Caenorhabditis elegans: one gene and its partners. The protein of the gene in region 2 interacts with the protein of the main gene of each other region in a biochemical or structural test. Each region holds a gene or a part of one and is shown on either strand. Other genes may lie near its edges. The genes, in order: flp-5, npr-11, flp-34 and flp-14.

What was found.
Region 1: of the proteins of npr-11 (region 2) and flp-5, one has a biochemical effect on the other in vitro, tested with the Caenorhabditis elegans proteins (one study listed by BioGRID).
Region 3: of the proteins of npr-11 (region 2) and flp-34, one has a biochemical effect on the other in vitro, tested with the Caenorhabditis elegans proteins (2 studies listed by BioGRID, with this or other methods).
Region 4: of the proteins of npr-11 (region 2) and flp-14, one has a biochemical effect on the other in vitro, tested with the Caenorhabditis elegans proteins (one study listed by BioGRID).

The regions. Positions count from the first base shown.
Region 1 is NC_003284.9:8,526,588-8,531,541, reverse strand, and holds flp-5 (GAKFIRF-amide), read right to left. Parts: upstream 3,222-4,954; 5' UTR 3,221-3,221; coding exon 3,141-3,220; intron 1,511-3,140; coding exon 1,387-1,510; intron 777-1,386; coding exon 702-776; 3' UTR 509-701; downstream 1-508. UniProt on the Caenorhabditis elegans protein: FMRFamides and FMRFamide-like peptides are neuropeptides. GAKFIRF-amide has an excitatory effect on dissected pharyngeal myogenic muscle system.
Region 2 is NC_003284.9:1,251,301-1,257,664, forward strand, and holds npr-11 (Putative neuropeptide Y receptor 11), read right to left. Parts: upstream 4,348-6,364; 5' UTR 4,316-4,347; coding exon 4,205-4,315; intron 4,091-4,204; coding exon 3,941-4,090; intron 3,886-3,940; coding exon 3,737-3,885; intron 3,686-3,736; coding exon 3,487-3,685; intron 3,084-3,486; coding exon 2,914-3,083; intron 2,266-2,913; coding exon 2,169-2,265; intron 2,120-2,168; coding exon 1,959-2,119; intron 870-1,958; coding exon 698-869; 3' UTR 515-697; downstream 1-514. UniProt on the Caenorhabditis elegans protein: Could be a receptor for neuropeptide Y and peptide YY.
Region 3 is NC_003283.11:1,027,375-1,035,127, reverse strand, and holds flp-34 (FMRF-Like Peptide), read left to right. Parts: upstream 1-1,723; 5' UTR 1,724-1,742; coding exon 1,743-1,798; intron 1,799-3,475; exon of another isoform or gene 3,476-3,543; coding exon of another isoform or gene 3,544-3,599; intron 3,600-5,305; coding exon 5,306-5,422; intron 5,423-5,892; coding exon 5,893-5,958; intron 5,959-6,559; coding exon 6,560-6,622; intron 6,623-6,966; coding exon 6,967-6,982; 3' UTR 6,983-7,234; downstream 7,235-7,753.
Region 4 is NC_003281.10:12,908,837-12,915,460, reverse strand, and holds flp-14 (KHEYLRF-amide 4), read right to left. Parts: upstream 4,952-6,624; 5' UTR 4,950-4,951; coding exon 4,818-4,949; intron 3,868-4,817; coding exon 3,744-3,867; intron 2,028-3,743; coding exon 1,898-2,027; intron 767-1,897; coding exon 721-766; 3' UTR 531-720; downstream 1-530. Other genes in the region: Y37D8A.16 (MARVEL domain-containing protein), read left to right, coding at 33-164.

The DNA of each region.
Region 1 (4,954 bases), 7.3 Mb from region 2:
ATAAATTATTTTTGAAACCTCTGTTCTAACCAACTTTTCAATTTTCTGTAGAACTCAAGGCTACCAAAGCCAAAAAAAATTAGTAAACGAAAAAACATTTCAAATAACATCTATACTGCCACCACTTTCTAAAAACCAAATTGGGATGATCGTAAGTTTTGAAGATTAGATATGTGTATGGAGATTTAAACAAAAATAAGTTTTTAAGTATTTTTGACACATGCAATAGTAATACAAAATGAAATGATTGTTCAATTGTGTTGATTCCTTGGCATAAAATTTCAAACCACATTCAAACATTGACATGTCATTTGATTGACTAGATTGCAGTATTTAGTTAATATTTCGATTAAAAAAAAGAACGCACACAATTTTTGGAAACATATTTAGGTGAGACGTCTAATTAAGTCCATATTTTATAATGAATTGTTTACGTGTTTCTTATTGTTTTTTTAAGATCATGGATTATGGATACTTGTTATTCAAAAATTTTGAAACATAATAATTTAACGCAACGTTTTTCATTTGAGAAGGCGTCGAAATGGAAAACACAAAGAATATCAGTTCGCACAACAGTTCGAAAAAAATAGGAGGACAAATAAATGAGTGAAAGGGTATATTTCAGGTGGGGACTTTTTAAGAAACACTATGCAGTTAGACAACGTAGGAGCAGTGATTCGACACGAGTTGATTGTTCCTAATTAGCCGAATCGGATGAATTTGGCTCCACGTTTAACGTAGAGCTCGTTGACCGATGGTGAGGCGTATCCATCTTCCTGAAAATTCAATAAATGATGATGGCATAATGGTTAGTATACATGAGAAGTTGACGTTTCGGATGCGTCATTACTCATATCCATGTGTTGGCATATGACATAGTGCTTTTTAGCGTGATATTTTCATATATGTATTCCGTTTGTAAAGATAGTGGGGGAGCGGGGTTTTTAATATTTCAGAAAGCTAATAGCTTGTAATGCAGTGTGTACTCAGTCACGTCGATCTTTCATGAAATTCTGACGTTTTTCTTGTGACTTAAAAGTATTCCGTCTTCGCTGGAAATGACAGGCATCGTTTATCCTTTATTAGTCTCATCATATACTTATTAGTCGAAATTTGTAAATGTTCATATACGACTAGAACAATTTTTTTAAGGTGCTCCCCAGCATTACAAAAAAATCTCTAGACTCAGCAAATATCAAAACAGATAAAAATCAAGATTTTCAGAATATAATTTGCATACGTAATAAGGGGGTCGAATAGGATTTTCTACAATGGTAGCAGCTTAAGCTATGTGTACAACAAACACAAGGAAACAAGCTTTTCAGAACCTTGGTTTTCGACTTATGCAGTGATTCACTGAAAAAATTATTTTCTTGAAATACTAACCCAAGTGTTCCTTGATCGCCCAAATCTGATAAACTTGGCTCCTGCACGACCGAATCGGATGAATTTTGGCTTTGGTGCTCGTGCTATTCTTTGGTATTTTTCAAGGTAGTCCGCGTCTTCGGCACTGAAAATATTCGGTGTTATTAGATTGAAAAGTCCATATTTGTGAACAAAGAGACCGTTGTTTTATTTTTTTAAAATGTCATAGAACCTTTCCTGTCTTTTTTCTTACGTATTTCACACGTCAATATTGAAAATGTGTCTATTTTAATTACCACCATTTATCATATTTTTAATATTGTGTTTCGGTTCACCACGACCTACATTTCTGCATATAATTGTTCAAAAATAATTGAAAAATGAAAAGATAAGAAGGTTACCACATTTTCCTTTTTGTCGCTTAACCAACTACTTTACTTTTCCAAACTCAATGAGCACATGCGTCATGTTAGCACGCCAAGTGCAAAATTAAACGCTTCATTTACCAATTGTATTGAACGACTAGAGCAAAAAAGTGGTGGCAACTTTTTGAAGGAGACATGTTTTGTGAGTGCTCTGATCCCTCCAGTGACTTTCTAAGAATGAAACAGGGAAGTTTCAAAGTTGCCTGATATTAAAGAAGCGGGATAAATCGAGAACGGAATGCTAATTTGTGTTACATTGAAGGTCAAAGAAGCTAATTTTATGAATTCCACCCTCGCTTTTCTATTAGGTTAGAGACTAGTCCTCAACTATTTTATTGTTTGACATACTTTTGTTTTTGTTTTCAATGCTTGGAATTCAATGTTCTGAATGGGAAATTCCAAGCTTTAAAACAAAACAAACAGTTTAAAAATCTGAGTATTTCGAAAAGTAATTTCAAAAAGATATTGTCATTGAACACTTCCATTCTTTGTTTATAACGTCATCTCTATTTTTTCCTTGCTGAAGACTCTGGCCTCCCAACAAAGTTGTTCCAATTTTTTAAACAATAGTATGGAAAGAATGGGTCAAAGTGCATCTCACCGGAAGCATCGAATGCAAAGCGAATAAGCAAAAAGCGCGCCTCCTAGTACTCGCAATTGAATTTGAATGGCTGATTGATATTTCCGCTTCATCCGACACCAAGAGTCCAACAGACAAGATGGGATCCCCCAAAAAGAATAAACTCACGTCACATTACGATGCTCATGAGAATGAAAAAAAGGGAGGAGACCGGGGTATAAGTTCGTAGGAAGCGCACAAGATGCTAGTAGTAAAGTGAAATGCCGAAGAAAACGAACAGAATCTAGTATGTGTGTTAATCACGCCATTGCATCTTTGTATAATTAGAAAATTACGAAAATGATGATGAAATAAAGTGCATGATGAAAAATGCGTCACTTTTGAGCAATTAGCTGTACAACGATGATTTAATTTGGATATTGAAACTATTTCTGTATTAGTATTTAGTTTTTCTGAAAAAGATAATTTGCTTGTACCTACGACTTTAATAGGTTCCGTTGTTGTTTCAATCTAGACCTTCACGCACCGTTAGAGTTTTGGTTTTTTGTGTTTTTTTTTCTGTCTGAGTTGGTAATTTATGTCAGCCTTTTTTAAAATCCTTTTAATAATTTTACTTTAAGTCCTAGCGCCTTTTCTTTTTAGGAAGTCCATGATAGTCTCAATAGCCGAAGCAATGATCACAATCAAGAACAAATGGCCAGTTTTGATCAGTTGGGGTTTAACAATTGGCTCATCACAGCACCTGAACCCTAGACATCAAATTAACCTACCTTGATTGAGCGGAAACACATTGGAAGACAAGAAGGGTGGCGATGAAGAGGAAAGCAATCGTGGTGCTTCGGCTGCTCATAGTTGCGAGGAATGACTGTTTCGTAAAAGGCGGGTGCTGTCGTGGAAGCTGAAAGGCGGGGACGCTGCGCATGGCTTGCCAACTGGCTCCGCCCCATCTCTACTATTATGTGGAGCGGTTGGGAGCTGAACTAGAGATGATGGGAAATAAGGAGTAAATTGAAACTGTAGTTGTTATTTTTGGGAAGAGACTTTATCTAAAAGAGTTGTTATTATAGTAGGAAGAGAAGATAATTGGAGAAATGAAGATATCAACATGTCTACTACAACAGAAAATAGCAATATGCTTTTGATAACTTGCGTCAAAGTTGCATGACATAATTTGATGAATTAGCTCGTCTATATTGGCGATCAAAAATATAAAAAGAATCCTCCAGCAGATTTCTGAATTCTCTGCGCAATTCGTCACACGACCCAAAAGCTTTTTTAGGTACTTTTAGGTACTTCCTTCCAGACTTCAACTTTAACAAGCTCTTTTTGCAAAACGGAATGCCCTCTATGTTTCCCATTTAACCCCGTGGAGATTGAAAAGTAAACGATCTAGTAAGCCTCTGGGGGAATAGAAGGGGTACCGGAAAACTAACGACTTAACCCAGAGTTTGATAATAGAAATGGAGTCAGAAGCCGAAAAGCTGATTGAAAACAAATAATAGAGTAGGATTATTTGTTTTCGAACCAGGGTCACTATCAATTGGGAGAAAAATAATAATACGAAAATCAGAACAAAAAATTAATCAGAAACCTTTCAAATTTCAAATAGACTTCTAGTGATTGTTTTAGTACGTCATAGAGCATCAACTTTGGTTTTTAGAAAACTTGCAAATCGATGTAACGCTATTCCCAAAAAACACTCCGACGATCAACTATAAATTTTGTTTATGTACCAATTCATAATTTCCACGAACCGATAAAAGTGCTCATGTACCGGTTTTACTTCAAAATGAGAGTTTTGTATTGTGTTCACTTGCCGAATTCTCATTTCCGTTTTCCATAATATACACAAGAAACAATATCAATTGCAAGATTCATTTCAGATCCACCCGTTTCAAGCCCACATTGCTTCTTTTTTCTTAGATACCACAAAAAAAAACAACTAAACTAAAGTTAAAAAACTGAACTATTCTGTTTCTAGGCGGCGCGTTCTCCGTAGTAAATGGGAGATTCTCCGAAAACTGCAAAATGTCAGTGTTGAATGACCGATTTGACATGTCGGAGGAGGAAACGGCGGGGCCTGACATGACGTGTCCGTTTTGGCCCACAAAAAAGTTTTAATTAAAACTGGAAGCTACGGGAATGAAAAAGTCTACGGGCGAGCAAACAAACCGTAAAGCCTAGAATTTTCAGCATATTGAATTTTTACGCGAACTTTGTATTTGAACTTTTGCTCGATGACTTTCTTTACGACATGTGTGAATTTTAAGATCATGTTTCATTTTCTTAAAGAAGTTTGTTTTCAAAAAGGTTTATTCAATACTAAAACACAACAGAACCAATTTTTGTTACCCTCTTTCAGTCTTGATTAAGAGTACTAAAATAATGCAGAAGTGTACCAATTGGCCATATCATCTGTACTTTTTGTGTTCAATATTACTTTCCAAGAGTTGTTTTATTGTGTTCACGATCTTTATTTATACTGTCATCAAAGTTTACAAATTTGGTACACCCACATTTCAATGGTCATATTACACAGATAAATGTCATCACTTCCCGAAATCTGCGGAAATCAATGGTTTTT
Region 2 (6,364 bases):
AAACGTAGCGTTTGCATTTTTTAGTGTACACAGTATACACGTGGCGTCAGGCTGTCTCATCACAGGTTGATCTACAAAAAATGCGGGAATATTTTTGCAAAAATTGTGACGTCAGCACACTTTTAACCATGCAAAATCAATTGAGATGTCTGCGTCTCAACTCCCGCATTTTTTGAAGATCAAACCGAAATGAGATATTCTGACTCCACGTGAGTATATACTTTTGTCCCAAAAGATTTTTGTTATCATTCTTACATCAAATCCCCCCTCCCTTAAAAAAAACAAGCTTTTTTGACCAGTTTCCGATGAGTAGTTCATTAAAATTCACTTTCCTGTCTCGAAACGAAGAACCAAAAACTTCCATATCCATGACGCCATTTGTTTTGAAAAGCTGCCGAACAATATGGTTGTTCAACTCAAAAATACCCTAAATTTTCCGCATGACTGCGCATTTCAGTCAGTCCCCTCCCTAATCTTCGGTCACTTCTCTCAAATTTGACCAATCATCTCTCTTATGACAAGCTTCATTTACAAATCTTCATATGTGAAACATAATAGGCTGAATCAGCAACATACTGACGGAAACGAAAAAAAAAGTAAAAAAAAAGAACATCAAAATCAAATAAATTAGGTTTTAGAAGCGTTTTGAAACAATGACGGAATGATTTATTGTTACCCTACATGTTTTCTTAAACAATCACAGCTGCTCATCTTGCTCCATCGCACTCAGAATCATACTTTCATTCATTCTCTGGAAGGTTGCTGGCTCTGCAGTAGTTACCGTCTTACAGCCTCCACGGCTTCTGAATTCAGTGCGCATACTTTTCTTGAGCGACTCTTGCTCTCCAAATATCACGACTCGAAGGGATCTGGAATATTGCGATATTTTTTTGAATTTTCAGATTTTTCTACAGTACAACCATCTATAATTTTCTTCAAATTTACTCATTATTCCGTGAGCCTAATCTCCGCAATTTTTGTAGATCAATGGTATTACGGGAACACAAAATTGTGAGAATGCGTACTGCACAACATATTTGACGCGCAAAATATCTCGCAGCGAAAACTACAGTAATTATTTAAATGGCTACTGTAGGTCGATTTAGGAGCTTGATTCTCAAATTGAATTAAAATCATTTGTTTATCAATATAATATATAAATTAAGGAGGAAAATATAACAAAAACGAAAAAAAATGGAATATTGATGTCCCTATTCAAAAAGAAAATCACTTCAAAAATTGAGCCCGTAAATCGACACAAGCACTACAGTAGTCATTTAAAGAATTACTGTAGTTTTCGCTACGAGATATTTTGCGCGTCAAATATGTTGTGCAATACGCATTCTCAAAATTTTATGTTCCCATAATAAAGGACCTCTTTATTATGCGTGTCAACTTAGGGCGCTTAATTGGTAGATCGCTTTTATTTTCTGGGTGTATCACGACTTTGATACAAAAGCTGTAAACCAGGCCACACACCGCAACAGTTCTTCTACCAAACTATTACAGTACCTTGGTAGTTCCTATTATATTTATATAACTCTTGAGGAAAGGTTTTCCACAGTGTAATAGCCCCACTGTGTTTAGACCACCTGCCGGCAGGGTCTTAACACGGCAATTTTTTTTCAAAAATTGGAAGGTGAGCCTTTAAAGAGTACTGTAGTTTACAACTCATTGTTTTTATCAACTAATTTTACGAAAAAAAAAATCATCAAATTAATAATTGAAAATTTGAGAAAACCGTATGTCTATGAAAAATTCATGAAATTTTAGCGATAATAAAGTTTGAAAATTACAGTACTCCTTCCTCAAAGGCGCACATACTTTTGTATTTAACAAAAATGTATCGTGACGGGACCTGGTACTGGACGTTTTTGTGCAAAATGACAAAATTGCAAAAATTTTCCACCAACTTTACACATAAGTGTTACCAAAATTAACTTAAAATGTTCACAAACCTCAACCCAACTCTATCGAAAAGATGCATAAATTCGATCCGGAAGTTATGATTGAAAAATGCATAGATCAGCGGATTCAAGCACGCCGAGCACATTGCCAAGCAGTGACAGATGCTGAACGTTGTAACGGAAAAACTGTTGACCAGCTCGAATGTGTTGAACTGAAATTTGTTATGGTTTTAGTGGAACATAAAACGAAAATGCTCCTACGATATGAAAAACGTTGAGTGGCAGCCAGGCGACGGCGAATACAGCTACAACGCATACAAGAAGGAGGTGGGTGCGTCGTTGACGTTCCACGACGGATCTGGAACTTTTTTTAAAATAATTTTATTTCGAAGAACATCTATTTTGTACAATAAATTATGTGAAAAATTTTAAGTTGTTTGATTTTTGAATAAGCTCAAAATTTAGTTCTCCAGGCAAGTAATGATCCGAAAGTTTCAAAAATAACTTGAAATTGGGTGATTGGGTTAATTTCAAAATGTTGTAGATATCAGTTTAGTATAAGTTCATTCACATGATTTTTTTACAAAAAATTAAAGTTTTTTACTAACATTTTTTGAAAATTTTATGACCGCAGATAAAATAACAAATTTTGAGCACATTTTTCTCGAAGTTTCACAGTAGTAAAGGTGGAATAGCCCAAATGGGTAAATTGATAAAAACAACTCCTATGGTGTCAAATATCATAGTAAAACATTTCAAAAAATGCTCTAAAAATTTTTATTGGGCTATTTATTTTTTTTGCACAAATAGAGATTTTCCCAATTTTCAAAAAAAATTACATCAAATTTAGAAAATTGTTTCAATTTTTAAATTGTGGTATTCGGCCCAGGTGGGTCAGATTTTCTCAGAAAAGTTCTGTTAGAACAGTGTTTCAAAAATTTCGAATGCCACTTAAAACGTGGAACTTTACATTTTTCGAAACAAAAACATTTCAAAAATTTCTTACCGTCTCCTCTGACTCGTATTGGTATTTGTTGTCACATTCTGATTTCGGTTTGCAAATCTCAGCTTCATCCGATGTGCTATCCGGGAGTAGGCGAAGACTAGTGAAAACAGGGGAAATGCGTATTGGGTGATAAGAACTGCCAACGTGTAGGTGCCTTTTGATATGATCATCTGGAAAAATTGGAGTTTAGCCGAAATTGTCTTTTTTTATATTTGTTTTTATATTTCCATACATACTGGTTAATATAATACCAGTTAACATGTTTTCAGAAAACTGAAAACTTTAAAAAGTCATTTGAAATTTTATTTGAAAATTTTAAAAAATCGGAACAATTTTTTTAAATTTTTTTTCAACTCTTTTATGTATTTGGAAATTATGACACATTTTCTATTACTCAAAGCAAATTTCCATAGAAAGTATTAAGCAAGTTCCCTTGACTATCGTCACACCATATTAACCTAATTATTACAGTAATACTACAGTACATAGACAGTTTTTATATTTCATTAATAGGAGCTGATACATGAAGCTTATTGTTTAGTTTATAGTTCATTTAGACCACTAAGAACCAACCTTTTCCCATATCTCATTTTGCTCATGGCAAATGTAAAGAGCCAAATCGCACGATGGCTCAACGAAAACCGGTGTCAAATCAGAAGCCTGCAGAAGTGGAACCGCAAGGATTAGGGAAATCACCCAGATCATGATAAAAAAGCAGAACGACAGATTTTGTTGTCGTTCTCGCTTCGTTGGGAAGATAATGAGCACGTATCTGAAAACTTGTTAAATGGCATTTTTAATTAAAAAAAATATATGTACATACCTATCAACAGCAATTGAGGCTATCGAGAATGTGGATAAAAATATGTTAAAGCCTTGCAGCGAACCCGCAATTTTGCATAATGTCCTGCTAAATGGCCAGAACATGTAGAGAACCGTGTATAATGTGGTCGGCGCTGTCACAATACAAACCTGGAATTTTTCAAATTGTTTCCTATCTTCAATAATTCCAGCAAAAAATACTCACAAAAAAGTCCGACAGCGCCAAGTTTAAAATGAAAAAGTTCCTTGTTGTCCGCATTGCTGGGTTGAGTATGACTACGATGATTGTCAAAAAGTTGCCTATTGCTCCAAACAAAATGATCAGCATGTATGCGAATGTGATGAAATATCCGAACTGAAAATTTGAATGTTAAGTTTTGAGTAAGCACTGACCATTTTTAAATTTGCACTGACAAAGTTTTGATTTGCACTGACAAAATTTAAAAAAATTGTCTTTTTGAATACCAACCTCTTTTGGTGAATACTCAGTCCCATTGATAACCTGATCATCTCGAAAAAAGTAGTTGATTTTGTTGAAAATTTCTACATAATTGTCACATGATTCATTCACCGATCCCATTTGTTGAAAGTTCTGAAAATACCGACGAAAATACAAAAATACGGGAGATGAAATTGAAGGCAAGAAAAAAAATATGTGAAACGCCAATTTTCTCACACAGAAGGGAAATAAATAAACGAATATTCCAAGAAATTGAGCATCCAGACTAGTGGTTAGTCGGTCGGTTATAAGAGAAAAATATCAAAAAATGAGAGGTAATTACTGCGAATTATAGAGAAGAAATGAAAATTGAAAAGTGAAAACTATCATCTCATTTAACTCATTCTCCCGCCCCGGTGTCTACTCCCATATCCCTTTTAAATTGAAACTTTATAAAAACAATAACGTTGAAAGACAGGGGTTTGGGAGCAATATGTGCACCGAATTTCAGGAATAACTTAGTTTTTTTTTTTAATAATATTTTTTCAATTTTACCAGCCACAATCATCTATGTTATGCTGCCTAAAAATACACAACTTGCACTGACAAGATGTTTAGTTGCACTGACCAAAACTTCGAATGACTTTATCCAATGGCTATCATATATGCCAATTGCACTGACAAAATTTTCAGTTGCACTGACCACTATATCATTTGCACTGACAAAAATTTTGATTGACTTTATCAGTTGCACTGACCACATCTCCATTGCAATGACCATAATTTTTGGTTTACTGTTAAGAATTGCACCAAATTCGAAAGAATCTCGCAAACAGTCAAAAGCTATAGGAAATAGCAAAAATTAATAAATGTGTGGGAGCAGTTCATGAAAAATAATTTTGAAAAAACAAAAGAAGCGGTGAATGAGCTCACCAGAGACAACCAAATACGATTAAACCAAACTAGTAGCATCACCACAAGAATAAAAAATTTATATGACTTTGTTTTGACGGAACTCGTCTTTTCAACCGCCATTTATTTCGGCCACCCAGGTCGGTTTTTTTAAACATTTCTCTCTGCCATCTTGTGGTGGATATCCATAAACATCGGAAATGCAGGAACGGGCCGGATATGAAATGGAGAAGTGAAACACAACAACAACATCAACAAAAGAAAACTGGTATCAGAAAACAGAACTTTGTGTGTTTTTAAAGGTGGAGTTCCAAAATCTGAGACCTTGAGACTTTCCATTTTTCAGACCAAAAATTTTCGAAAATTTTTTTTTCCGAAAAACAATTGTAGAAATGAGGGGTTTTTTGAGCTAAAATCTCGTTTTTTCACAATTTTGCCAATTAAAAAAGTCCCAACTTGAAGAAATAAGGTTCATTAAATTATCACCCCCTGCGACACATTTTTTCGATTTTTTGATTTTTACAGGGAAACTTTCGAAAAATCGATAAATTAAAATGTTTGTTTTTTGAAAATCTGAAGTAAAAAATTCCGATTTTCTTCAATTTTTTAAAGGGAAAATCGGAAAATCGAAAAATTTTTCCATTTTTTTGAACAATTAAATCGTTAATTTTGTATAAAAGTTTACAGAAAATTAACGATAAAATTATAATTTTTAATCAAAAACCAAACAAGAAAATGTTTGATTTTTTGATTTTAGTTAAAAAAAAATCAATCTAATCTACTGCAAAATCGGATTTTTCCAAAACTTTGATCCAACTTAACTTTGTTTTGAGAAAATTTTAAGCAAAACTAAATAACAATTATTTTATCAAAATTTTGGATTTTATAGTAAATTTTCATAAAGGGTAATAATTAAATGAAACTTACTTATTCAAGTTCTGATTTTATTTAATTGAAAAAATTTTAATTTTGGCTAAGATACAACTTTTTTTTCCAAAATTTTACACCACCATTTCATGTTTTTCGAATAAATTTCAAAACCTTTCAGTACAAAATTCGGTAGTTTCATGTCAAATTGAATCTAAAAAAAGCAAATTTTCAGATTTCTGTTATTTTTCCACCTTTAAGAATCCCGTTGTTTTCGGTTTTTATCAGAACCAGGAAAAGTTTATTAAAACCAGGAATGCTCTTTTCTTCCGGAGCCACACAAAAACGCTATTGGTGTTTTTGATGAGAAAGCCTGCTAAGTACTGCGAGAGAATGCTCGAACTTTTTCTA
Region 3 (7,753 bases), on a different chromosome or scaffold from region 2:
CTTTCGTAGGCATGCCAAAAACAACAACTATATTTGCACAGGACCTTGTAGGGCCTAGAAATTTCTAAAGTTGTTAAACTATTTCTAAACCAAAACGAGTCCCAGTTTTCCAGTTTACGAAATTTTTTGTTGTTAGATAGTTTTGGTTCTTAACCTTTTTTCTAATTTGTCAATACCAAAACAAATTCATCAATCAGGTGAATGACGCTTAGACGATTCTGATTGATTAGAAATTTTTTAATTAACCTTTTTGGTTACTTGGAATTGATTAGAAAATGTTTTGGCCTTATGGTGAACTAAATAAACGGTGCAAAACTTCAGTCAATTTGCCTTGTGTCTTCAAATTTTCATGGGATCTCTGAAAATTTACAAAAACTCTACCTAAAAACGATATGTTTACCCAAATGTAGTTCTCACAACAATCTATATTTGGGATCTCAAAATTATTTTTAGTTCTCTAACGTCATTTATTCTCACTGCTAATTATGAAATATGTACGAGGAAATTTCGTGGCAATTTTTATTTCTCGAAAGTTCCAAAATTTCCATTTTCCCATGGTCAACTGTAGTAAAGAAATATTTTAGAAAATTGACGTCACACTCAGCCGAAATTACGGTAGAATTTTTTTTTGAGTTTTTTTAATTGAAGTCAAAAAAGGGAAAACTAAATTTCCCCTTTCGCCAATTTTGGAGGTCAACCCTCTTTTTTTTTGGAAAATTAGATTTTTTGCCAATAACTTTGTCTATATAAAATTTTTGAAAAACCTGAAATATTCTCAAACATTTGAAAATTTGAAAATCTGAATGTATGAGTGTATTAAGACCAGAGGTGCGCGGTAAATATTTTTACCGGCAAAGTCGGCAATTTGCCGTTTTTCGAGTTTCCGGCAAATTCGGCAAACCGGCAATTTGCCAAAAACAAAAATTGCCGGAAATCCGGAAAATGGTCGGAGTTGAAAATTTCCGACAAATTCGACAAACCGGCGATTTGCCAAAAATTAACATTTCCGGTTAATCGGCAAATTGCCGGAATATAGAATTTCCGGCAAATTCGGCAAACCGATAATTTGCCAGAAATGAAAATTGTCGGCTAATCGGCAAAATTTTGGAATTGAAAATTTCCGGCAAATTCGGCAAACCGGCACTTTGCCGAAAATTTTGAAATTTGCAGACCACGTGCTTGATTTGCATCAAGTTCTCATGCCCTTTAAATTATTTTCTCTCTATACAGATTTCCTCATATACATTGACATCATGCCCTCTAACAACAAGAATAAAAAAATTAAATATTAATTTGTATTCGAATTCGGAAATTTCCTTTTTTTGCGCTTTGTGTCTCAAATAATATGCGGTGCTAATGAATTTTTCATTCCGAAATACGACGGACTTGTTGAAGGATTTCCTGAGTTTTCACAATTTTACGTGTATTATTCGAATTTTTACAGGAATCTTGCAGTTTCTGACTCTGGTCCAGACGTGGCCGCGAAAATTAGAAAATTCGGCCAGGAATTTATTTTTGATATTTTTTGTTTTTTGCGGCCTCTAGTATGAATACTGTATGCTAATCTCGAGGTTTTTAAATTAAAAAAAATACTCATGGCCGAGTTTCCAATTTCCTAGGCCACGTAGCAGCCGCATTTCACCTCAAACTCTCATTTTCTCGGAAATTTTTGCTGAATTCCTTTGAAATTCAGCTCAATCTCTAAAAATTTTACTTTCAGGTACCCCCGTTGCAGAATAAAAATGCACAGCTTGATCACAGAATTGCTCATTTTCTTCACAGTTCTTCTTTCTGTCAGGTAATTTTTTTAATTATTTTTTAAGACAATTACATGGTTCATTTCAAAGCTCTAAAGAAGATTCTAAAGGCTTACAACTAGAAAATTTAACCTTGGCAAGCAGGTAGGTACTTGAACTTTTTTTTGGTACAATATTCCTAAAATTCTTCAAATAATCTGAGCTCTTTAGCAAACAAAAGTTGTCAAAATCTATGAAACTAGATCAAAAATTGGTTTTTGAAAAGCAAAAACGAATCAAATTTCATTTGTACCAGGTGAAGGGTTTTTTGATAACTAGATCAACATTTTATTTATGCAGAATCACTTTTTTTATTATGAAACTACATTTGAAAAAAATGTATTCAAAAATATGAGGAAGCAATTAGGCTTTCGAAACTCGCAAACATAGTATTTTTGGAAGGTCTCGCAGTAAAATTCAAGTGACGTCATACCGATGAATTTCCCGCAATTTTTATAGGTAAAACCGATATAGATTACTATATGTGACGTAGAAAAATATAAAAGTCGATAAAAATTACCTTGTTCGAAATTTAAATGTGGACGGGTTTTATCTTTCTCGTGGACGCGTTAGAAGGAGACCTGCCTGCCTATGTGCCTACCTATTGCCTACCGCCGCCTCCAATAAAAATGCATATTTGCTAATTTCTGTCTATTTTCATTTCCATTAAGTTTCTTCATGGGGTTTGCTTTGAAGGCAGGCAGGCAATTAGGTGCCTGCTGTCGGAAATTGCATAGCATCAACAATTTTTGGAAAATTTGAAATTGAGGAAATTTACTTTTTATTTTTATTTTTATTTCCAAACAGAGGGATGGGGCTCATTTACAAAACTCATTTTTATCCAAAAAAATTTTTTGAAAATATTTTTTTGGAAAATTATATAGAAATGTAGAGAAATATCTGTTCTTTCTGAAAACAATTTTATCTTTATTTAAAATGTTTGAGAAATTGCCGAAAAACTGCCTCAAAGCCGGCCGTAATGCACCTAGGGTCACTGACTCTATCGGCACATTTTGACTTTTAGGTGGGTTTTGAGCAGCTTTTTGAATTTTTAAAGAAAAAAGTAATACCATTATCAGAAAGTACAAATGTTTTTCTATATTTCTGTATAAATTTTCGAAAAAAATTGCCGGAATTGCTAAAATTTTTAGAAATTTCAAAACTATAATATTTCAGCTATTTCAGAAATTCCTGAGCCCACTCCCTCGTAGGAACCCAATTATGAAATTGTAATTTTGGCAGAGAGGGAAAATAATTTGTTTTTTCGCAAATAAAAGTGACGCGGTGATGCTTTCAAAATTGAAATATATACATGTATATATCTGTGTATATTTTTCTGTTTTTCCATATTTCCCTCCTCGAAAACCGCTAACAAATTCTATCCGGTTACCCAATTTCGGTTTAAAACCATTCCATTTAATTGGCACCACATTTCCGTTTAGCTTCTTCCTGCTTTAAGCCTAAAACCTAATTTACCACCCAAAAAGTCGTAAAACAATCGTATTATTGTCATGGATTCATCGTATAGTATATAAAAATACCGTAGCTGTGTGTGATGACGTGGCAACAAGAAAAAATTAAAGAAGAATGTGATGAAAGGCAGGCATCATTTCCTGGGAGCACCCACCATTAGGCGCCGCCCACTTTTGGCTCGGCGAGCAAGAGGGGGGAGAAAGCTCATTCTGTTTTCGACACCCGATACATACACTCACACACATTTTCCACTACTAAACATATTTTCTAAAACATGCAGTTCCAATTTTTGATGGCTCTGATTTTTGTTGCTTTGGTTTTAACTGACAGGTTGGTACTGTGGGGGTACTGTGGGGGTACTGTAGGGGTACTGTAGGGAATGGTACTGTAGATTTTTTTTGTTGAAAGTACGGTAGTTTTATTATATGATTTTTTTTAATTTGAAAGTTGTTGGTTATGAATTTTTTGAATTTTTTTAAATACGAAAATTTTGTTTTAAAATTTGGTAAGAGACCATATTTCTGTTTACTGTGATCCTACATTATTTTAACATTACTATAGTGTATTACTGTAGTATTACTGTAGTATTACTGTAGTACCTTTAACTGAACCAAAATCTATAACTTAATACATTGGTTGGGCCAAAAATATTTTGCAAAAATTTTTTTAATGATTTTTGTTCAAAAACTATTTTAAGGGTGCAGTATCATCTAGGATAATTAGAAAAAACTCAATATTTTTCAAAAAAAAAATTACTATAGTCTCATTAAATATATGTGTTAATTTGTAAGTTATAAGGTTTTTTTTTTGAATTTTTGGAAAAAAGAAAAAAAAATCCAAAATTTGGTTAAAATTTTTTGGGTCGAAGTTTGAATTTCTGAGCTTTTTTTTTAATTTTTTGGATAAGCTTATGTTCATTTCAGTTTAAGACAATTTTTAGAATCACAAAATTAATTGGGATAACTTTGGAAAAAAATCAGAACAATTTTAAAAAATCTAAAAATTATAAAAACTTGATGTTTTCTAATTTTTGAACTTACTACTCAGTTACTTACTCAAATTTAAATCTTTTCGAAATCTAAATTTAGCTTGTCTGCGCAAAACATCATGGCAGGTGAATTTCTGTTTGAAAAAAATGTTTTCGACCAAAAATTGCAGTTCAACTTTTCTCAATGACGTGGCAAAATTGAGATAAGTAGGATTTTTTTCATGATCTTTTTTGAAAATCCACAAAAAAAAAGTAATTCTGAAACAAAAGGGGATTAATTTGGAGTATTAGTCAATGCTCATGAGTAATAAATTGTGAAAAAGTCAACAAGGAAGCATCTCAAAACAATCAAAAACTAGGCTTAATCCCCCATCTAGATTTGGATCAACAAATTTTTGATAAATTCAGATATGTAGTAATACTGTTAATAGTTGAACCAAAAATTCTAAAAATTGAAATTTTTTTAAAAATTTTTTAAAGTTTTAACCTGTTTCCTATTTAGAAATTTCATACATTTTGAATTTCGAACATGATGCATCAAAAACTGAAATTTCACAAATCGCGACGAGACCCACCAAAACTTGGGCATGCGCCTTTAATACATTTCTGGGCGTAGTTTAAATTTAAATTTGAAAATTTCAAATTTCCGTTCATTTGCGCTGGAATTAAAAAAAATCGTAGTCCCTGTAAACTTTTTTAAGAATGTATATAAAAAATCCTCGAAAATTTGGAAAAATTATATAATTTTTTAAAACAGTTATATTCGGTATACTCACGTGGCGTCAAGCTGTCCCATTACGGTTTGATCTACAAAAAATGCGGGAATTTTCTGCCCAGAAAAATGTGACGTCAGCACGTCCTTAACTATACAAAATCAGTTGAGAACTCTGCGTCTCTTCTCCCGCATTTTTTGTAGATCTACGTAGATCAAGCCGAAATGGGACACTCTAACACCACGTGTATACTTAGACTATGTTATGATATTCAAGTAAAAAGGATTACTGTAGCAATAGTTTCAGCTGTGTCACGACATAAAAAAGTTTTGCAGCGTACTATCCCTGCCACTGGAGAAAAAAGCAGACATTTCCACATTTGCATCAGCTATCAATAATGCTGGACGGCTTCGATACGGCAAACGATCGGACCCCGCAATGTGGGAAGAAAAGTGAGTACTGGGAAATTTGCGCGTAAGATATGGTGCATCGAGGAACACCAGATTTGACGCGCAGAAATTTGAAAACTAGTTGGTCATGGAAAAAATTCTAGACGCTGGTTCAAACCTATGCGATTTCTAAACTTTTTCCACAATTTGGAGCCCAGCGATCGGTACGTAGTGTGCACTTTTTCTATCTTTTCAGTTCATTTTTCTTGAAAATTTAAGTTTTTTTTAACATTTTCAATTTCCGAGTGACATTTTTCAATAATTTCAACGCACTCCAACCTTTCGAAATCCAATAAAAGTGTGTGTTTTGACCGGAAATCTCAAATTTGTGTCTAGCAAAAGGAGATGCTCTTTACAAACTTGTTTGCTCCAGCAACAACCCACCACTTTTCTTCGAAATCATCACGTCATTTGAAATAAGAACTTTGCAATTATAAAAGTAATGTAGCCTATGAGAAATTTGTGATTTTCAGTAATGTCATCATTCCATCATCGGAAGATCAGTACCTCTACTCGGAAGGACGTTATCCGTACGCATTGTGAGTTTCTCACTGGGGTAAAAGAACCTAGGCAGGCTTATAGCCTAGGTCTATAGCCTAGACCTATATTCTAGGCCTACAGTTACCTACAGCTTAGCCGAGACCTATGGCCTAGCCTAGACCTATAGCCTGGCCTAGGCCTATAGCCCGGCCTAGGCCTATAGCCTAGCCTAGGCCTGAAAATTGAAGAACAAAATTTAGGAGGCAGGTGAAATTTTGAAGTAGTAAATATAGAATAAATTAGTGATTAATCAAAATTTCACCTGTTTGTTCCTGCATTTTGGAACGTAGATCAAAATTTGGAACTAATTGAAAGTGGATTAGCGGAGGAGTTTTATGACGTGGGGGCGCTTAAGCTTCAAAGCTATAAAAAGATGTTTCCGAATTTTCAAGATTTAAACCCTCTCAACAAAATACAATTTTAAAATGTACAATTCGAATGACAAATGGTTGAATAGATAATTAGAAATTTGGCAGAGAGTTTGAAAAAAAAAGGACATTTTTCTCGGAATCAGAAAGTCGTGGCGTTTGGTCGGGTCATTGGGATGAAAATTTTTCAAATTTTTTGAGGAAATCCTCCTGAAACTAAAAATTATTTCAGAATCAAACGTGCGCTGAACAGAGACTCCCTGGTGGCTTCTCTCAATAATGCGGAACGATTACGGTAATTTTTAATTTTATTTTTCGAGATTACGCCTATGGCCTACGCCTATGGCCTACGCCTATGGCCTACGCCTATGGCCTACGCCTATGGCCTACGCCTATGGCCTACGCCTGTGGCCTACGCCTATGGCCTACGCCTATGGCCTACGCCTATGGCCTACGTATATGGCCTACGTATATGGCCTACGCCTGTGGCCTACGCCTGTGGCCTACGCCTATGGCCTACGCCTATGGCCTACGCCTATGGCCTACGTATATGGCCTACGTATATGGCCTACGCCTATGGTCTACGCCTATGACCTACGTCTATGGCCTAAAACAAAATATAATCCATTTTATTTTCAGATTTGGCCGTAAATAATTCCATCACGTCAGCCCGTCCGTAGCCGTCTCGTTTTTTTTTCTAAATTTTCTCTCTCGAGGTTTTGTTTTTATTTCAGATATTTAATTAATTTATTTATTCTCTAAAAAATTTTCCTCATTCAAAAATTCGCTTATTCAAATTTTTCATCATTCACCATCTTCCTGTCTTGTATCAAATCAGTCCCCCCAACTCGTTTTTATTTTTTATTTCTTTCTCAAAAAAAAATCAAATAAAGTTTGTGAGTCTGTTGTTTTGAAATTTATTTGATCTAAAAAGAGCGGGAACAGAATGGTCGAATAAACAATCGGGATATTAGTGCGCCAAAATTTTTTTTGGTTTGAATTTTTGATTTGAATATGATATTTGTGGACATTGAAGTTTGATCTTTTTTTTTGTCATAGGCGTAGGCCATAGGCGTAGGCCATAGGCGTAGGCCATAGGCGTAGGCCATAGGCGTAGGCCATAGGCGTAGGCCATAGGCATTGGTCAAAGACGGTTGCTATAGGCGTAGGCCATAGGCTTAGGTAATAGGCGTAGGTAATAGGCGTAGGCCATAGGCGTAGACCGTAGGCGTAGGCCATAGGCGGAGGCCATAGGCGTTTGCCATAGGCGTAAGTCATAGGCGTAGGCCATAGGCTTCGAGTGAATTCAGAATTCTCAATCTCAAATGTTTATTTTAATTTCCTCAGAATAAACTTTTGCCAGATGTCAGATTAAATGAATACAATTTCGAATGAGTCCACTTCGAAAAAAGTTAAGAACTTTGAG
Region 4 (6,624 bases), on a different chromosome or scaffold from region 2:
TTAACAAACTTTTCAAAATTAATTTCTTACAGGCAATGGCTGGACTCAACGTTGGATGCTTCCTCGGCATCGCTGCCATTTTCGTTGCAAATCTTGTCAACGATAAGATTCTACAGCGCTCGCAAAAGTTCAATAAATACGATCGTGGAGTTTACGTGCAGTAATTCGGCAGAAGTCTTGGGATTTTTTATTGCTCATTTTCATGTAAATTTCTAATACGATCTACTTATATTTATTCTTTTTTTTTTGTTCCATTTATCTCGAAGGGATCTTATAATTGCGTTTTTGTTCATTTTTTGGAATTATTGACAAAAATTCTAATAAAAAATTTACCGTACATTTTAAAAAATTCGAAGTGTTTTTTTTTCTGAGCATTCCAGCAAAACTTGTCAAAAAATCCAGATTCCCAGAAATTTCTACAAGACCCAGAAGTTTGCTTTCTTTAAATCGTTTTTAAAGTGGTTCATCGTGAACCTTGTTTAATGTCGGTTGCGCACTTATCTTCCTCTGACTTCTAGAAAATAACTCTTAACCAACGACAAGATTTATTACAATTTCTTCTTTCGACAATGCTGAGAGGGAGAGAGAAAAGAGATAGAGAGAAAAATATAGAAAAAAAAATCTTTCAAAAAAAAATGGTGTACTGTAGTTCCGTCTTTTTCTTCTTTTATTTGTATGGTTTTCAAAGATGTTTCTTCGATGATAGTAGATATTCCCTTCTTATTTGCGTCCGAAACGCAAGTATTCGTGCTTTCTCTTTCCGAATCTGAAAAAAATAGGGGAAATTTGATGGAACACAATTTCCTTTAGAGACATCGTGTGACATTTGATTTAGAAACAAACAAAAAGAACACCGAATTTGAGTCGAAAATTCAATTTTTGAAGTTTAATAGTGTTACGGAAAAGTGCGAAGATCAGAGCTTGTTCTCTCCGTTAAATTGTGCTCGAAAAATCACGGATTTCTGGCTTCCCTCATAAATTGAAATGGAAGAGTTTGCCAAACTAGGCCATTTTGGCTCGGTCATAGCTGGGGTAGATTTACGGCGCATTGCGTGTCGCGTCGCGGCTTGATTTTAGTTGTAAATCTAAATCACTTGTCCGTGTGGAGTACACGACTTTCCCACGCGTTGTCCGGCAGGCGATTGTCAATGGAGCGCGAAAAATGCAATGAGGAAGGCCTGAACCCCGTGAAAGTGGGAAAAAAAATTCGCGCATAAAATTCGATGCACAGACATCATATTTTACGCGCAAGTTTGTTACACGATTTTTCAGCCACAAATACAGGTCTCGACGCGACAAATTTTTCGTTAAATTCGAAAAGGTGTGCGACTTTGATTTTCATCGATTTTTCAAAGTTTTTCTATCATTTCCTCGAGAATTTGTCCGTATTATTTTTGTGTAAATAAATAATATTTTGCAGGACACTACAGTAATCTTTATAGGCTTTTGAATTCCTTCTGTATTAAAAAAAAACAAGCAAATTCGTGTAGAGACCTGAGAAGTATTACGGTGACGCAAAAATGACAATTTTTCGAAAAAAAAGTGCAATTGCGCTCCAAACGCTGCCATAATTTGGGTCTCGTTAAGAAAATTGGTTCCAAAAATTTCCTGGGTGTATTCATTTGTACGTTGGAGCGTATTTGCCCCCATCTAACAGTTGCAGCTTTTTGCGGCGCCATAATAACATCTGCCTACTACTGCCTGCCTATTGCCTGCTTATTGTCTTCCTACTCCCTGTCTGCCTACTGCCTGCCTACTGATTGCCTACTGCCTGTCTATTCCCTGCCTGCCTATTGCCTGCTTATTGTCTACCTACTCTCTGTCTGCCTACTGCCTGCCTACACCCTGCCTACTGTCTTCCTACTGCCTGCCTTACAACTAAAAAAAAATCACAAACCTCAAGTACTCGTGCTTCCTTTTTCCAAATCTGAGATACTCGTGCTTTCTCTTTCCGAATCGGAGGTATTCGTGCTTGCGCTTCTCCATGTCATTGTCTCCCTCGTTGGTCTCCTCCTCGAGAGCCAATCCTGCAACAACGTTTCCCATTGGGATCAGACCTCAAAGCAAGAGCACAACCATCATTAAGAATTTAAAAAGAATTTGGCGCTTTACATTTTAAAAGTCAGGGGCTTTTTCAAGAAAATGGCGGAACGTGATTGATAGTCTAGGCTTTCGGCTGGGTCACCGGAGGCTTATTTGATGCAGAGAAAATGAAGTTTGACTCATGCAGCTGGCAAATCGGATGTCTACTGTCTGCCTGCCTACTGCCTAGTTCCTGCCTACTGCCTAGTTTCTGCTTTCAGCCTACCTACTGCCTACCTACCAGGCCTGCCGGATTTTCTGCTTTTTTTTTTGAAATAATTTTGCTTTAAAAAAACCGAAAAATCGAAAAAACAAATTTCGGCGGCGCCCCTGTTTCCTACTTCTGCATACTGCCTGCTACTGCCTACTTACTGTCTGCCTACTGCCTGCTGCCTGCCTGCCTACTGCCAATTTTCGTTTTTCAGATTCCAATTTTACGGTATTTCCATTTTTCGGTTTTGCTAAGACAGAAAACCAAAAAAACTGGATAAGGCACCCCTGCTGCCTACTGCCTGTCTACTACCTGCCTACTGCCTACCTACTGCCTACCTACCAGGCCTGCCGGATTTTCGGTGTTTTTTAAAGAAAAAATTCGTTTTTCGGTTTTGCTAAAAAAAAACCAAAGGGAAAAAACTGGCAAAGGCACCCCTTCTGCCAACTGCTTGCCTACTGCTTGCCTACTGCCTACCTACAGCCTGCATACTACCTGCCTACTGCATGCCTACTGCCTACTGTCTACCTACTAGGCTTGCCGGTTTTCCTGTTTTCCGGTTTTGCTAAGACAGAAAACCAAATAAACTGGCATAGGCACCCCTGCTACCTACTGCCTGCCTACTGCCTGCCTACTGCCTGCCTGCTGCCAACTTTCGTTTTTCAGATTCCCATTTTACGGTTTTTCGATTTTTCGATTTTGCTATAAAACAACCAAAAAAAAACTGGCATAGGCACCCCTGCTGCCTACTGCCTGTCTACTGCCTGCTTACTGCCTACCTAGTATTTGCCTACTACCTGCCTACTGCATGCCTACTGCCTAGTTCCTGCCTTCAGCCTACCTACTGCCTACCTGGCCTGCCGGATTTTCTGTTTTTTTTTTTTTAATTTTCGTTTTTCGGTTTTGCTAAAAAAAAAACAGAAAAATCGAAAAAACAAATTTCGGCGGTGCCTCTGTTTCCTACTACCCGCCTACTGCCTTCCTACTGCCTGCCTGCTGCCTGCCGGATTTTCGGTTTATTTGAAAAAATTGTTGTTTTTCTGTTATGCTCAAAAAACCAAAAAAACCTGGCATAGGCACCTCTGCTGCCTACTGCCTGTCTACTGCCTGCCTACTATCTACCTACTATCTGCCTACTGCCTGCCTACTGCCAACTTTCGTTTTTCAGACTCCAATTTTACGGTATTCCGATTTTTCGGTTTTGCCCAAAAAAACCGAAAAACCTGGCAAAGGCACCCCTTCTGCCTACTGCCTGCCGACTGCCTACCTACTGCCTGCCTATTGCCTACCTACCAGGGCTGCCGGATCTTCGGTTTTTTTTTAAATTTTTTGTTTTTCTGTTATGCTCAAAAACAACCGAAAAATCGAAAAAAAAATTTTCGGCGGTGCCCCTGTTTCCTACTGCCTGCCTCTTGCCTGCCTACTGCCTACCTACTACCTGCCTACTTACCGTGAGTCTGAACGAGACGTTCAACTCCCTCCGAAACGAGAGCTCCGAGCTGAGCAAGAAGCATGCTGCTCTCGCTTAATTGGCACAAAAGCGCCTCTTGTTGATCGCCGTTGTTGGCCAGAATCTGGAAAATGTGTTTTTTTACAGTAGTACGTTTTTCAAACCCAGTGATTATTCCGGAACAAAATCCTTGGGAAAAGCACGAAAATTACATGGTTTCAAAAAAAAAACCAACCGGAAGCCTTGTAATTATAGGTTCAGATTTTTGTCGAGGACTACGGTGAGATGAAGCCCGTATTTGACAGCTCATATCTCGGCTATCTTTAGCTTTATCAAAAAGTTGTTAACTAGAAAAATATAGGTTTTTTCTTTTTCTGCAACTTTATAGTTTAAAAAATTTTGCTATCTATAAAATGAACCGAGTTATGATCTACCAAAGTGGAGTTCTAAAAAAACTTTGATCTACTACTTTCCAACCCCACAAAAAAACACATTCAAATCAAACAGAGAATAGTATGATCAGGTTAGAATCATCTAGATTAACTATGAAAAAGAAAATAGATTTTTTTTCTATTCATCGCAAGTTGTTTAATCTTTATTGTGCATCCAATCCTCCCCCGAAAAATGAGCAGAAATTGTGATCTTATTAAGTTTACTACAACCGAAACGTCATGAGGATCAAAAGAATATCATATTTATCAAATTTTTTGTCCAGAAAATGTGACGGCAGCACGTTCTTAACCATGCGAAATCAGTTAAGAAGTCTGCGTCTAAGTTCCCGCGATTCTCGTAGATCTGCGTAGATCAAACCAATACACAGTAGTCATTAGTTTTCGCTGCGTGATATTTTGCGCGTCAAATATGTTGCGCAGTACGCATTCTCAGAATTTTGAGAACCATGGGATGTATGACGTCACGCAGGCCCTAACTTAGTTTTCGAAAAACTTTTCCAAAATGCACTAAACTATCTCATTATAACTTCCACTTGCAGTTTTGAAAAAAAAAACTTTTTTAAACCCAATTATAAACATGACTTTAAACTTCTTAGAACAAAATGGTTTTTTTTTGACTCACCGCTTGACAATCCTTCGGATTGTGTGGAGCCTGTGCGGCTCCAGAAGCTCCGGCTCCAGCCGGTGCCTCCTGGCCACTGGCGGCCACGACGAACGCGGAGAGCAGAAGCGCGGTGGGCAGGCAGATCATCATATGAAGAGAGCTCTCAGTTGGAGCCAGAGGAGACTTCAAAATGGGCGGAGCTCGGTGTTGAAAGTGAAATGTTGTGGGCGTGGCTTGGTAGAGCTCGAGGAGAAGAAAAAAAAATGAAACAAAATTCAAGAGTACGGTAGCACTAAAAATTTTACGAAAAAAAAAACAAATACTAATTAGCCGAGGGGATGGGGTCCCCGGATTAGCAGGATTTCGCTAAAATTTTCCGGGAAAATTGGAAAAGAGAAAACACCTCAAACATCTGAGAATCTGCCCCGGAAGTAATAAAAAATAAAAAAAACCAAAAAAAATGTATCGGAGGTTCCGTAAGGAGGCCCAGGGGCATATTGAGTTAAGTGACAGAGGAGGTCAATGTTTGAACAGAGCAGATGTATTGATAGGTCAGGCTAGGCAAGTCTAGGAGTCTAGTGAAGAGTAGGCAAGGCTAGGTGAGCCTAGGCTAGGTGAGGCTAGGCTAGGCTAGGCTAGGACAGACTAGGTTAGGTTAGGCTAGACTCGGTAAGAATAGGACAAATTAAGCTAGGCCAGGTTAGGCAGGCGATGGATAAGTTAGGTAAGGCTAGGCCAGGCTAGGCTAAGCTAGGCAGGGATAGGTGAGGGTAGGCTTGGCTAGGCTTGACTAGGTTTGGCTAGGCTTGGCTAGGCTTGGCAAGACTGGGAAGTTAGATTAAGCTAGGCCCGGCTAGGTAGACATAGGATAAGATAGGTAAGATAAGGTTGGACTAGGTTAGTTAAGGGTATACTAAGCTAGGCTAGGCTAGGCTAGGTGAGGCTAGACTAGGTAGGCGTAGGATACGTTATGTAAGGTTGGCTAGGCTAGGCAAGACTGGGATTCTAGGCAAGGTTAGCCAAGCTGGGAGTCTAGGCTAAAATATGCTTGGCTAGGCTGGGCTAGGCCAGCCTAGACCAGCCTAGACCAGCCTAGGCTTTGCTCAAACTATTCCCAAATTAAACGTTCAGAACAAAAAAGGAAGTATAGAACCATCGCTTAATGTTGTTTTCGTGCAATTCTCCACGTGGTGCTCCGTTTTTTTTTCTTCTAAAATTTGTGTGTGCTCGTTAAGTGTTTTCTTTTCTTTTTTCACTCGAAAGAGGCTGCTCTAATTGGTCTGACTTTGTGAAAAATTGTAACTTCCAGAACAAAATAACACATTTGTCTTTTTTTGAATTGCCGCATAGTGACATAACTTGGGTCTCGTTAGGTTTTTGGCGACAAAATCGTAAATTCAAACTTTTTTATATCTCCTGATTTCGTTAATTTTTCTAATTTTTTCAGTGTGTTTTAATGTTTTTTGTGACGAAAAAAATCAAAAAATCAAAAAATCGAAAAAAATCATTAAAAATAACGAATAATAGCTAAAACGACCAAATTCCTAATGAGACCCATTTTATGAAGACGGAGCGTTCCGAGAGAGTTGGGAACATCGGCCATGACCGCGACGGAGCTTCAAAAAATTTGCGGAAATGATGCACAGGCTTCTAGCCTTCCTCATCGATTTTTTCGCGCTCCATTGACAATCGGCCGCCGGGAAAGTCGTGTGAACTCCACACGGACATTTAGTTTTACAATCGAGCCGCGACGCGACACGCAACGCGCCGTAAATCTACCCCAGATATGGCCGAGCCAAAATGGCCTAGTTCGGCAAACTCTTCC